3 linked regions of the Oryzias latipes genome follow. The protein of the gene in region 2 interacts with the protein of the main gene of each other region in a biochemical or structural test. Links are inferred from orthologs where the notes say so. Each region holds a gene or a part of one and is shown on either strand. Other genes may lie near its edges.

What was found.
Region 1: the proteins of cdc27 (region 2) and pttg1 form a complex in vitro, tested with the Homo sapiens proteins (3 studies listed by BioGRID). The link is inferred for Oryzias latipes from reciprocal best matches to the Homo sapiens genes CDC27 and PTTG1.
Region 3: the proteins of cdc27 (region 2) and anapc4 form a complex in vitro, tested with the Homo sapiens proteins (2 studies listed by BioGRID). The link is inferred for Oryzias latipes from reciprocal best matches to the Homo sapiens genes CDC27 and ANAPC4.

What each region holds. Positions count from the first base shown.
Region 1 is NC_019868.2:9,721,942-9,725,999, reverse strand, and holds pttg1 (securin), read right to left. Parts: upstream 2,826-4,058; 5' UTR 2,763-2,825; exon of another isoform or gene 2,656-2,762; intron 2,008-2,655; 5' UTR 2,003-2,007; coding exon 1,915-2,002; intron 1,830-1,914; coding exon 1,696-1,829; intron 1,605-1,695; coding exon 1,523-1,604; intron 1,091-1,522; coding exon 935-1,090; intron 309-934; coding exon 223-308; 3' UTR 162-222; downstream 1-161. Other genes in the region: sept6 (septin-6), read left to right, coding at 3,342-3,371. UniProt on the Homo sapiens protein: Regulatory protein, which plays a central role in chromosome stability, in the p53/TP53 pathway, and DNA repair. Probably acts by blocking the action of key proteins.
Region 2 is NC_019866.2:96,483-100,019, forward strand, and holds part of cdc27 (cell division cycle protein 27 homolog), read left to right. Parts: intron 1-1,601; coding exon 1,602-1,701; intron 1,702-1,886; coding exon 1,887-1,996; intron 1,997-2,067; coding exon 2,068-2,167; intron 2,168-2,237; coding exon 2,238-2,418; intron 2,419-2,609; coding exon 2,610-2,782; intron 2,783-2,876; coding exon 2,877-3,029; intron 3,030-3,106; coding exon 3,107-3,187; intron 3,188-3,537. UniProt on the Homo sapiens protein: Component of the anaphase promoting complex/cyclosome (APC/C), a cell cycle-regulated E3 ubiquitin ligase that controls progression through mitosis and the G1 phase of the cell cycle.
Region 3 is NC_019862.2:1,185,723-1,190,019, forward strand, and holds the start of anapc4 (anaphase-promoting complex subunit 4), read left to right. Parts: upstream 1-1,481; 5' UTR 1,482-1,543; coding exon 1,544-1,651; intron 1,652-1,729; coding exon 1,730-1,835; intron 1,836-1,907; coding exon 1,908-2,040; intron 2,041-2,120; coding exon 2,121-2,195; intron 2,196-2,273; coding exon 2,274-2,300; intron 2,301-2,371; coding exon 2,372-2,416; intron 2,417-2,502; coding exon 2,503-2,587; intron 2,588-2,728; coding exon 2,729-2,836; intron 2,837-2,913; coding exon 2,914-3,084; intron 3,085-3,719; coding exon 3,720-3,784; intron 3,785-3,898; coding exon 3,899-3,941; intron 3,942-4,018; coding exon 4,019-4,095; intron 4,096-4,170; coding exon 4,171-4,271; intron 4,272-4,297. UniProt on the Homo sapiens protein: Component of the anaphase promoting complex/cyclosome (APC/C), a cell cycle-regulated E3 ubiquitin ligase that controls progression through mitosis and the G1 phase of the cell cycle.

The sequences.
Region 1 (4,058 bases), on a different chromosome or scaffold from region 2:
AGGGGAACTGAAAAAGTTCATTCTAATGAAGCAGATCCTCTTCAGAAGACTCCCAACACGTGACCACAGCTGGAGTTTAAAGCAGGAAGTAGTTCAGGTTCACTCCCCTGACACTTTTGCAGCCATTCCATCACACACACACACACACTCTGGACCACAGATGTTGCCAAGAAAACTTTATTTCAACACAAATAATAAAAACAGCCATTTAACAAACAGGCATCAGCAGTCAGTAAGCGGTTCTGGGGGGAATTCAACAGTCAGCTCTTCAAGGGTTTGTAGGAAGGCATCCAGCTCCAAGCTGTGATCTAAAAAGGAAAATGAAGAGGAGTTTATGAAGGCTTTCCTGCCAACAGGCACACTTTCCAACAATAACAGCCATAACAAGTGGCATTTGTTGGAAGTCACATGATTCAGTTAATGAGTAACCTACAGGTCTGATCATAGTTTGAACTGTTCAACACTAAAAGGATTAACAGGTAACAGGGAACAGCATTGTAGTTTAGGGGGAAAGCTTTCCTATTACGTTACAGTTTGGGATCATTCGACAAGAATCCAGTCTGTGTTTCCCCAAGGGCACTGAGGAGCCAAACAGGTTCTTTGCAACAGAGCTGAGTAAATGAAAATTCAAACTAGTTTATTTTGTATCCCCAAAAGAAAAGAGAAAAAAAACGAACATGTTGACTCCAAAGTTACTAGATCTGTGTACAAATGGTTTGAAGTTTTTTGTTTTAACAGTAAAGCAAACCTCAAAGTTAAAATATTTTCTGTCTAATTTTGAAAAACATGACACGATTACTTTTTCCTAGTATTTATTACTTATTTAAAGCACCATGTGGCGTTCTGTTGCATTTCCCTTTGTTGCAACAGAGTGATTTCCTCTGTAAGCTCCTGAAAATAGGAGATTTATCAGACGTATAAAGGAGAACCATACCTGGAAATCTGCACCCTTTTGCAGGTGAAGGGTCTGGGAGAGGCTGAATCTTTTCCAGGTCTTCCTCAAGAAGAGGCGAGGTAAAACAGGCCAATCCGGGTAGAGCCAGGCCACTGAAAGGAATGAAGTCCTCGGGTATGCTGTACTTCTCAAACTCTGAAAATATGAAGAAACTCAGGAATGGGTGAAAAATTTCCCAGACTGTGAATAAGCCCCTTTAAAACCAAAGAAGTCAGAAAAGACACAGCCACACATGGGAGCCGTTTAACACAGTGGACACTACCACAAGGCCACTGAGCCACTTCCAATTCTTTCACATCATTACATTTTGTTGCTTTTACTTGAACAACCACCACTCATGAGCAGAAAGACGCTGTGCCCGTTGATTATGCTCAGTGATAAGAGTGGATATTGTAAACATGGTGGCTATGAAATGATGTGACATTAGCAGTAAAGACTTTCAGATGGCATACAGCTGCAGCACGACCAGCGGAAATGTGGAACTACTAAACATCTTGGTTTAAAAAAAAAAAAAAAAAACCTCTTAAAAGCATAATTTGCCTGCAAACCAAACAAACATGACATTACCTAGAGGGTTGTAAGGAATAAAATTTTCCATTTTTGGGTATTCCTCCCCTTTGGCTTCAGAAGGATGCTCGACCTTGACTTCCTATTGAGAAGAAGGGCAATATGGACACACAGAAACAACAGAATAGCCTTTTGCTGAAATAAATCCATTTGTCATTAGTGTTTATTTTTACCTGTGGTTTTAAAACTTTTTTCTCTTGTGTACTCAAAGAAGGGGTTAAGATCTTTTTGTTCACCACCCCAAAAGCCTTACGCGCTGAATGGACAGGGGTATTTTTGACCAACATTGGAGACTTCAACTGTTTTTCTGGTTATAGAGAGCGAGAATAAAAAGGAGGATCATGCAGAGTTCCACAAAGATAATCTGAAACAGTTGAACATGTTTTTAATACCTGGAGCAGACAGAAGCCTCTGACGCATTTTCAGGGAAGAGGGACGGAGGCAAACATTCTCCTGTTCGGTGAAGATGACATTTGCCATCTTGGCTAAAAGGTAAAAAAAGAAAAACATTTGGTTTCAAAAAACTTTCAATTACTTTAAATGGGGTTTTATATACACAAATTCATAAAAATATAACTTAATTTATTGAAAGAAAAGGGGGAAAAAAAAGGTGCACTTTGAAATTCATAAGTAGACTAACAGAGTTGGCTATTCTCATTTTGTTTCCCCACAATTCAGGCATTTTGAGGTTCAATTACGGATTTATTTATTTTTTTTTTACATCAAAAAGGCTTTCTGCTAATTGGTGCTGATGTTTAGCATTAAGAAGAAGATTATGTATTGTCAGGCCCAAAACTAAACTAAGCTAAAGTAGACATTTTGTTTTCATCTAACAACTATGCAATTATTTACAAAATAATGGATACATTTCCCATTTGGAAAATGATTAAGTTCAGAATAATTTAGTTCAGACAACAAATATTTATTTACATTTACTGACAATAATGTAAACAGCAGAGATTTGTCCAATGCTACATTATTGTTAGCGGTTAACTTTGTTTGTCATGCAACGTTACGTACGGTTTAAAAATTATCGTTAGCAGTTTGTCGTGCAACGTACGGTTTAAAAAAAATTGCCCATTTACGTAAAATCTTGGAATGATAAACCAACGGTTACTTTCACGTCTATTTACCTTAGTGTTAGTAACCTCAAAGAACAATAGTTCTTGGTCTCAATCCGAAGGCTTTATCGTCTTTATCCTGCTTTTTGTTTTTTATCTAGCTACAACAGCTTCCGCACCTTTGTTTTTAAATCCGTTCACTTCATTCCATTGGTCGTTGTAGCCCTCGTGACTGTCGTTGGGCAGTGATTATGATTGGTCGTTGTACCCCACGTGACTGGCATGAATTAATTTCACCCGTGTCTCATTTCAAAGCGTTGTATGAACAGAATTGGGCATATTATCGAAAAAAAATAATCATTTAGTCAATACCAAACTAACAAAAATTGCCCATATTCATAAACTGGATAATTATTCATGCTAATTATTCCCCTTTTATTTTATTTTTTTATTGCTTGCTGACTTCCATTTACTAGCGTTCTATCGGACGAAACCATGTCTGCACCATCTTTCTTTATCTTATGTGTTTATTTTTCTATAAATAAATCCGTCTTAAAGATAAACTGCAGTTATATGTCTTTTTTTCCCTAGTACCTATTGTTGTAATCAAGACGCAAAAGCAAAGCTACGTGTTCTCTACATGATTAACTCCGTAGATTCAATGGTACATTCCAAACAGGCCATCTTTCTGAGGAACGTTAACTGTTCAGCAGGGCTGCTGAAAGAGGACAGTTGAGGGAGAGCTAACAGAAAGCATCATGGCTTCGACCGAGATAGCAAGGCAAGCTGTAAGTCTTCTGTTTTACTTTTAAACGCATCCATCAGCCTAAATATGAATTAGTTTTACGTTTAATGTGCGTCAAGGATATGTTAGATGGAATTAGGTGTTAATAAGGAACTCCCCGCATTTTTTGTGCCTTTCAGAAATTCGCGGCATCATAGCTAAACCAGTGTAATGTCACTGTATTGACCAAAACACCCCAAATATGCTTTGGATATTCATTTAGAGCTGTGCCTTTGTAAAATTGTAGATAGGAGTACCTGGTCTTAGCTTTTGTATTGTATTCTTAATCGAGAACAACGCCTTTATCTCCATGCTGGTTACAGCTAGCTTAATTATCTCATTAACGAAACTGCGCCTGGTAGAATTATTAGTTTTTCATTGCCGTCGTAACAAAAATGTCGTATATTTAAAAGGTTTAATCAATACAAATCCCCCCGTAGGCCATTCATTCTGAACGCCCCCATTTCAGCTCAGCTTCAGTGTTCATTTCCGTTCTGTTCTGTCATGTAAATCCCGTTAACTTTCAACGGGCGTTGTCTAAAAGTAAACAATATTTCTTGGTTACTATTACTTAGTAGTAATGCATATAAACAAGCGGTTTTAAAGCTATGCTAGGACAAAGTGTGCTGCTCTTTTTTTTAAGGGAGAAAGGAAACCACTTAGTCCAGAGGGAGTGCTTAGAATAGCAAGG
Region 2 (3,537 bases):
AACCGTCACCAAAACCTAAACCTTCCACCGGGTCTGTGCGGCCCAGAGAAAAGTTCAGCACGGACTGCATGTATGTAGAAAATTACGAGCGAATAGATACGTTCTAAAAAGGAAAGTAAGGAAGTCCTTCATGTGGTCTGGGGAGGGGGCTGTCAGGTTTCCTGCTTTCAAACCCGGTCAATGTCACGCCCCCAAGAGTCATTTACCCCACTGTGATTGGTTGGTCAGCTCCGTGCACGACGATGAAAAAGTGTCTTTCATACAAACTGGCGGGCTGCAGTAACATTAAACTTTAATATTAAGGCGGGGACCGCAAAATATCATCTTGGGGGCCGCAAATAGCCCGCGGGCCGCGAGCTTGAGATCCCTGCTGTACACTCTGACACTGGTACACTAGCCGCAGGTCGGAAGAACAAATCAATAGTTCGCTTATTCATAGCTCAGACGCACATGATGAGGTTGTGATATTTGTCTCCGTTTCCTTCCCACAGATGTTTACGCGCGCTCTATTATCTCGATTATCCCCTCCACGCATTTTAGCCACTCACAGTGGCTTTCCCTATTCTTCTCACACGCAGTGGCCGCCTCACAGACAGGTATCACGCGAGTGTGTGCTCGCGTTTCATGAGTATGTGCGCGAGTGTGTGTGTCTGCCTGCGTGCGTGTGCGCTCGCGTCTCATTGATTATTTCATTGATCATTGACGTGCCCCTTCCACGTTTGATGTATAAAAAAATACGTAGGGTGGGGGAGGCAAATTTACTGGTCGCGCATGTGCGACTGGATGTAAAATTCAGTCGCACACTCTCAAATTTTGGTCGCAAAATGCGACCAATTGGTCGCAGTCTGGAGCCCTGCAGAAAATAATAGGTCCCAGTTCTGTGTGCACACAAGGGTAATTCATTTCCCAACATCACTAATAAATAAAGCTGATTGCATTATAAATAAGTGTCATCTTCCATAATTGTACAATTGTAAGCAAAATTGGTTCATGATCAAAATAACAATGAAATATAAACTTATTCATTAACCAGTTCATTTATCATATTAATCACAATTTAAAATGCAAAATGCTAATACACAATGACACGTCATGATCAATCCATCAATTCAAAAGTTCTGACCAACATGTGGACCATAAAAATTCATGCATGTAACAATATCACAGTCAATAGAAAATTGGCTATAAGTTACGTTTCAAATAAATTAACATTTGGAGAAAGTTGGTTTAAACACATTGCTAACCGCTCCATGTAAAGTAATGGAACGGCTAAGCTAACAATAGCTCACTCACCAGTTCTGTTTTCTTAGTTTCGTATTGCACGCTCGTCTCCGGACAAATCGGCACCAGTAGTCGGCTCCTATGTTCCGATGTTAGTAGCGTTAGTTTTCGGATTGTTTAAAGTGAAATGACTAAGACGAAATCAGTTAACGTACCTCCAGTTAAACACCCGAAACTTCCCCAGACGCTTCTTCCGGCAACCTACCCGTCACATGACTGTGTGACGCTACGACGCACGCAGTGTGGTGTCGTCGTCACGCAAGAGATGCGAGAGGAGACTAACGCAGTTTCTCACCCGGGTTATAACTATCTGTGTGTAGCTTTGGCATCTTGCCACTGGACCCCAGCCCAGGAGAACCCACATACCTGCAGAACTTCTCGGCTACCATGGAAACACAGACTACAACTCCCAGCAAGAAGGTACCTGCAATTTTTTGGTCAATATTTCTGCTGTTTTCTGCTGGTGCTAATTCTATTACCTGCATTTTATCTCTTCACCCAACCTCTCCTGTTTTTAGTGGGTTTGAACCATATTTTTCTGTACTTGTATCAATTCACCTGACCTTACCTGTCTTTACTTGTCTTCACCTGTGTTCCTCCTCCAGTCTGTGTCCAGGATCAGTCAGTCCAAGTCTGTCTTCAGTCAGAGTGGAAACAGTAGAGATGTTCTTCCCATTCCCTTTAACCAGTCACAGACCTCTGCACCTCACACCAGGTAAGACTCACAGATGCCAAGGGATTGGATCTGGGAGCTCTGTCTGAATGTCGTCTCTTTCTCTTTGTCAGTGGGTCCCCTCAGGTCCTTAGTCCTAGCATGTCTGGCCCTCCTAATGTTCAGCCCAGAAGAAGCTCGAGACTCTTCACCAGTGCCAGTTCAACTGCCAAGGTGTGCCTGTTAGTGCCCCACAGGTGTGCTTCTTCAGTGCATGCAGACTCACCGCTGTCTGTTTCTGCAGGAGAACAGTAAGAAGCTGAAGATGAAGTTTCCCACCAAGATCCCCAATAGGAAGACCAAGTGTAAATCTGCAAAGACCTCTAACAGCAGCAATCTGAACGAAAGTCTGGACATCCTGCGGCTGGACCCCAGTCTGAGCCTGCCGGATGCCAGGATTCCCCCCTACCAGCGGGCAGCTGCAGGTACTAAAGGGGCATGGTCAGCTACAGTAATATTGCTCTTTGAAGGCCCAGACTGTCTCAAAGAGACATAAGCCTTGTTCTACAAACAAAAACCTTTGGCACATTGACAAATAGACTAAGTAGAAACTGTTCTACTTAGTTTCTTTACTCTGGTTGTGGTGTGTTTCCGATCTTGTTCTGTTTGTGTTCAGACAGTGTAATGGCGTTGCTGAGAGACTTCGGGCGGGGCTACCAGGCGCTGTGCTCCTACAGCTGCAGAGAAGCCATCAACATACTAACCTCGCTACCCCCCCAGCACTACAACACTGGCTGGGTGCTTACTCACATTGGAAAAGCCTACTTTGAGCTGGCCGAGTACACACAGGTAACTCTCTGGATACACTGGCTTACCTTTATTGAGACCTGGTCATGTGATCTGTGCAGTGGGGGGGTTCCAACTGACCAGCATGTGCCTTCAGGCAGAGCGTCTGTTCAGTGAGGTTCGACGGATTGAGTCATACCGGGTGGAGGGAATGGAAATCTACTCCACCACACTGTGGCACCTGCAGAAAGATGTTGCCCTATCTGCTCTGTCCAAAGATCTCACTGATATGGACAAGAACTGCCCCGAGGTGAGAGGCACCACCCTCCGTCAATAGGCAAGTCAGCGGATGAAGATGTTCCCTGATTGGCTGGTCTGTGTCTGCAGGCCTGGTGTGTAGCAGGAAACTGCTTCAGTCTTCAGAGAGAGCACGACATCGCTATCAAGTTCTTCCAGAGAGCCATTCAGGTGAGCTGCTACAGACAGGTGAGGGCCATTAGCCACAATATTGCTGTGGGGACTTTTACAACTGCAGAATACTAGAACCAGAATCTTATATCTGTTAATTATACAGGGCCTATATCATGCACATCCCACTTTTTTGAGCTTTTAAGTGTATTATATTTATTCCTCACTAAAAACAACCTCAAAGTTGTATTTGGATCTTTTCATGCATTTTGGGGATTCCTCTAAAACCCTCTCTCTGAGCTCCAGCCCATCCGAGCCCACAAAACGAGTTTTTCACATTGTGACATCACAAAGTGAGGAACAGCCCCTTCTAGGAAGAATCTTCACTGCCAGCTCCGCCCCTAGGCTAA
Region 3 (4,297 bases), on a different chromosome or scaffold from region 2:
CCGTCCAGTTCTGATCCAGATTCCAGCTCAGAGCAGGAAAACACAGACGTTCATGGATCTGTTGGTCTGCATCAGAATGGAGCAGAGCTGGGAGCTGGTCACTTGCTGTCTGTAGTCTCTATAATAACTACAAAATTTTAAAATGGCAGTTTTTGTCTGCTCCTAATTCACCATATGTTGAATAAAGAAATACTCAAAAATGCAGTTTTAATGTTATTTTTCTATGTCCTCTATCATGAGAAACATGAGATTTTTTTCAGGAGAAATGTGCTACAAAACATGCTATAATTCCATAAAATAAAATTAATATAAAATACATATTTTGTTTAAGTGGGGCTTTAACTGCTTTTTTCATCTAAATCTTATTTTACTTACTTATTTACCGCAATGATTTGATTATTATGTCAGCGGTCACTAGAGGAAACAACACCGTCAATACAGAGTCGACACAGTCTGGGTAATATGTCAATACACTCATCCTCATCCATCACTACTAAGTATACTTGTAGTAAACTGAAATAGGCTAATATTTGCTAAGGAATTCCATGACATAACCCTGACCATCGGGCTCCATCGATTAAACTGTTGCTAGTTTTCAAGGAGCGGTTTTGTCTTCTAAGAACTTTGTCTCCTCTCGGCTGCCGTTGCTGCGTAGTGATTGGTCGAGAGAAAAGTATGGCGGCGTCTCAGTAGCTGCATAAACGACTTCAGGAAAATCTACCGCCAGACTCTGGATCAACCGTCAAAAGAGTATCTTTAATGTGGATTATTTCTGTGTTGTCATTCTAAGACGGTAAAGGACTGAAACAAACAGAGTCGTGTTTATCCGCTGAACGGCTAACAGCTGGAAGCGTCACATCTCATCTGAACAAGTGAGTTTCTCAGCGAAGAATCGACTTAAAAGCTTTATTTTTATTATTTGGTTTTAGATTAAAGGGTTATGATTTCCTGTATTGATGTTGGCTGAAAAATCTTTTCTTTCTTTCGTTTGATTTATAGTAGAAACGGTTAAAAAATGGACGTAACATTTTTGAAATAAAAATGAATGATACAAAAAAAAAACACAGTTAGTGGATTGATTATATTGTTTGCATTAATTGTTATTATTTTCCTGACTTGTTTTGTTGGTTTGGGCTATTTGCTTTTTAATATGACAGAGGTATGTAAATCTAAGAGGTGTCGTGTTTCATCTGAAAAGCCACCTGCTGTATGTTCCATCTGATCAAATATACAGGAAATGAAGAACAAGAACAGGCTGAATGAATAATGGAGTCATGTTCTGCAGGTCATGTCAGCTGGACAGATTCAGAATACCAACCATTGAGATTTTTAAAAGGTGGAACTGTCCCAGAAGAGCATCGTCCAGTCATTGTCGGCGCCGCTCCACCTGCGGGCCGCTCCACCTACATCCACTTCACCTGTGGGCCGCTCCACCTGCGGGCCGCTCCACCTGCGGGCCGCTCCACCTGCGGGCCGCTCCACCTGCGTTCCTTTCACCTGTGGGCCGCTCCACCTGTGGGCCGCTCCACCTGCGGGCTGCATCATGCCAGCCTTCCGGCAGGTAGGGGAGAAGCAGCTTCCAAACCCTGTTCTGTGTATGGCCTGGTCTCCAAAGAGGGATCTGATCGCTTTGGCCAACACGGCTGGAGAGGTGAGCTTCAGCTCCTGAAAACCCTCTTACTCTTTATGCTGGTTTTTTATCCAAAGTTGAATGTTTTGATTTTCATAGCTGCTGCTGCATCGCTTAGCAAGTTTCCAGCGGGTTTGGAGTTTACCACCTACTGAACGCACCGGGAAAGAGATCACGGCGCTTGCCTGGAGACCAGATGGCAAAAGTAAGGGTGGACTCGACATATTTCAACTTGAATGTGAGGATTTTATACTCTGCTCATCCATTTGATCTCCAGCACTGGCCTTCAGTCTCGGAGACACAAAGCAGATCGTCCTTTGTGGGGTTGAGAAGGCAGAAATCCTTCACGTGTTCCCAGTGCAGAGCGCCGTCACCTGCATGCACTGGATGGAGGTCGTGGATGAGAGCAGGTGAAGAGAGGCTCAAGGGATATCCATGCTTTAACCAAACAGACAGGAATCATATTAAGTTATCGTTCTCTACCTTCCAGCTCCCTCAGCTCTTTCTACAGCTCAGAGGATGAATCCAAACTTTTTCTCCCAAAAATCCCAACCCTTCCAAAAAGGTAAAGCCATGAAGACGTGCATTGCTTCAAATCTCATCTACTGGCAATCTCCATGCAGTCATTGTTTTTCCTCCACAGCTACAGCACAACTTCAAAGATCTTCAGGTGAGACACCATTCATGATGAATGTTTGGAAGCGTTTGAATTTTTCCTGAGTGTTCTTCCCTCTGTCACAGTGAAGAGAAGTCAGATGAAATACTCAATCTCTTGGGAGATGCCAGGTAAAAAAACAAGGTGACAGTTTTTGAGGATTGAATGAAAATGGTTCCACGACTGTAAGAGTGATTTTTTTTTTTTTTCCTTGCAGACTGAATGTTCTTGTTCTTGGAGGAGATTCTGGCTTTGTGGAGCTTTATGCTTATGGGATGTATAAGATAGCAGCTGTGGATGGGGTAAGAAAGCTTTCTTGACATTGTAACAAACAATTAAAAGTGACCAAAGAGGGGTTTTACTTGTATTACAGATTTAATTGGTAGTAATCCTGAAATGCCTGGAGATTGAACTGTTTTTCTTGGATTTATCCTGCTGTGCAGGTGACTGGAACGTGCCGCAATCTGTGTCTATCCAGTGATCTCAGGTCTCTGTCTGTCATCGCAGAGGTCAGGTCTGCTGACAATAACCCAGAGATCTGCTACATCCAGGTGAGGTGATCCACTCTGGTTCTCTCTGAGTATCTATGCTCTGTTTGTGTTCCTAATGCGTCCTCCTTGCCCGTCAGCTGGACACAGGCCTGCTGTCTGACTGCCTGCCTGAGGTCACCCGGATGGCGCTGAAGTTCACCTTCATCTCCACGCTGCTGCAGTACCTGCATCTCTCTCTGACGTGTATGTGTGAGGCGTGGGAGGACATCCTCATGCAGATGGACCTTCGGCTCACCAAGTTTGTTCAGGTTTGTTTGGTAAAGAAATGCCTTTCTCTGGAGGAAGAATCAAACATTTGAGCGCATATTGGCTTAGTACGGTGGCCCTGATGTGCAAATCACATCAACAAATCTCTCACCAGAAAATCATGGTAAATGAAAAAAGCAGACCAAATAATAATAAGGTGGGTATCAGGGGACGTCTCTGATTGGATGATGATGTTTGTTCACCTTTTTGGCGGGAAGTTCTTTGTCATGGCGATCTCTTCCATCAGAGGAGATTTCTTTAAGCTTCTGGCCACGCCCACTGCACACGTTTGCTGATTGTTTAATCAGCTGTTTGCCACAGTTCAGGTGAAACCTTCTTCTGCGTTTCCTCTTCTTCACAACTCAAATGTCATCATCCAATCAGCAATGCCTCAAAGGACCTGCCTCTTCTGGTTTCTCTAGTTCTTTTTTAATTTTAACATTAACTTATGGAAACTCCTTTTTTCTGAATCTTTTTGTTTACATTTCAGTCTCCTGAATTTTGTTTTGATTTCCAAAAGATGATGTTTTTTAGTTTTGCTTTGTTAACTGTCATTCTGGTCTTAACATGCGTTTGTGTTAATGTGATTGGGACCTCAGGGCCACCATACTCAGGGTCATGTCTTCTGTGTTCCCAGGAAAAGAACACGAGCACTCAGGTTCAGGATGAGTTTCTGGAGCTCCTGCTGTGGGGACAGTCCAGGTGGAAAGCAAACCTCCTTTGTTGTCTTCATGGTTGAACTGTATTGCCTGGACCGTCCTGTGGATGGTAGCAGTGAGTAAGGAATTGTTTTAACTGTTTTTTCATCCTTTCCAGTCCTGAACTTCAGGCTCTCCTCATGAACCAGCTGACTGTAAAGGTGAGGAGAGGTGAGTTCAGACTCCACCTCCTTCTGAGGACTTGAGACTGAAATCTTTCCGTTCCTTCACCCTTTAGGGTCTGAAGAAGCTTGGCCAGTCTATCGAGTCTTCTTACTCCAGCATCCAGAAGCTGGTGATCAGTCACCTGCAGAGGTTCGCTCCCCCTTCTGTCCTCAGGTCAGTGCTCCTCCTCATGCTCCTCATGCTCCTCTCTTCTGCCTCCTGCAGTGGCTCCGAGGCTCTGCTGTACCATCTCAGTGAGGTGAGAGGGATGTCTCTGTGGAGGCAGAAGTTTGAGCCCCTGGGCTTAGATTCTGCTGCTATAGAAGGTACGAGTTCAGACACGTTGTGATGG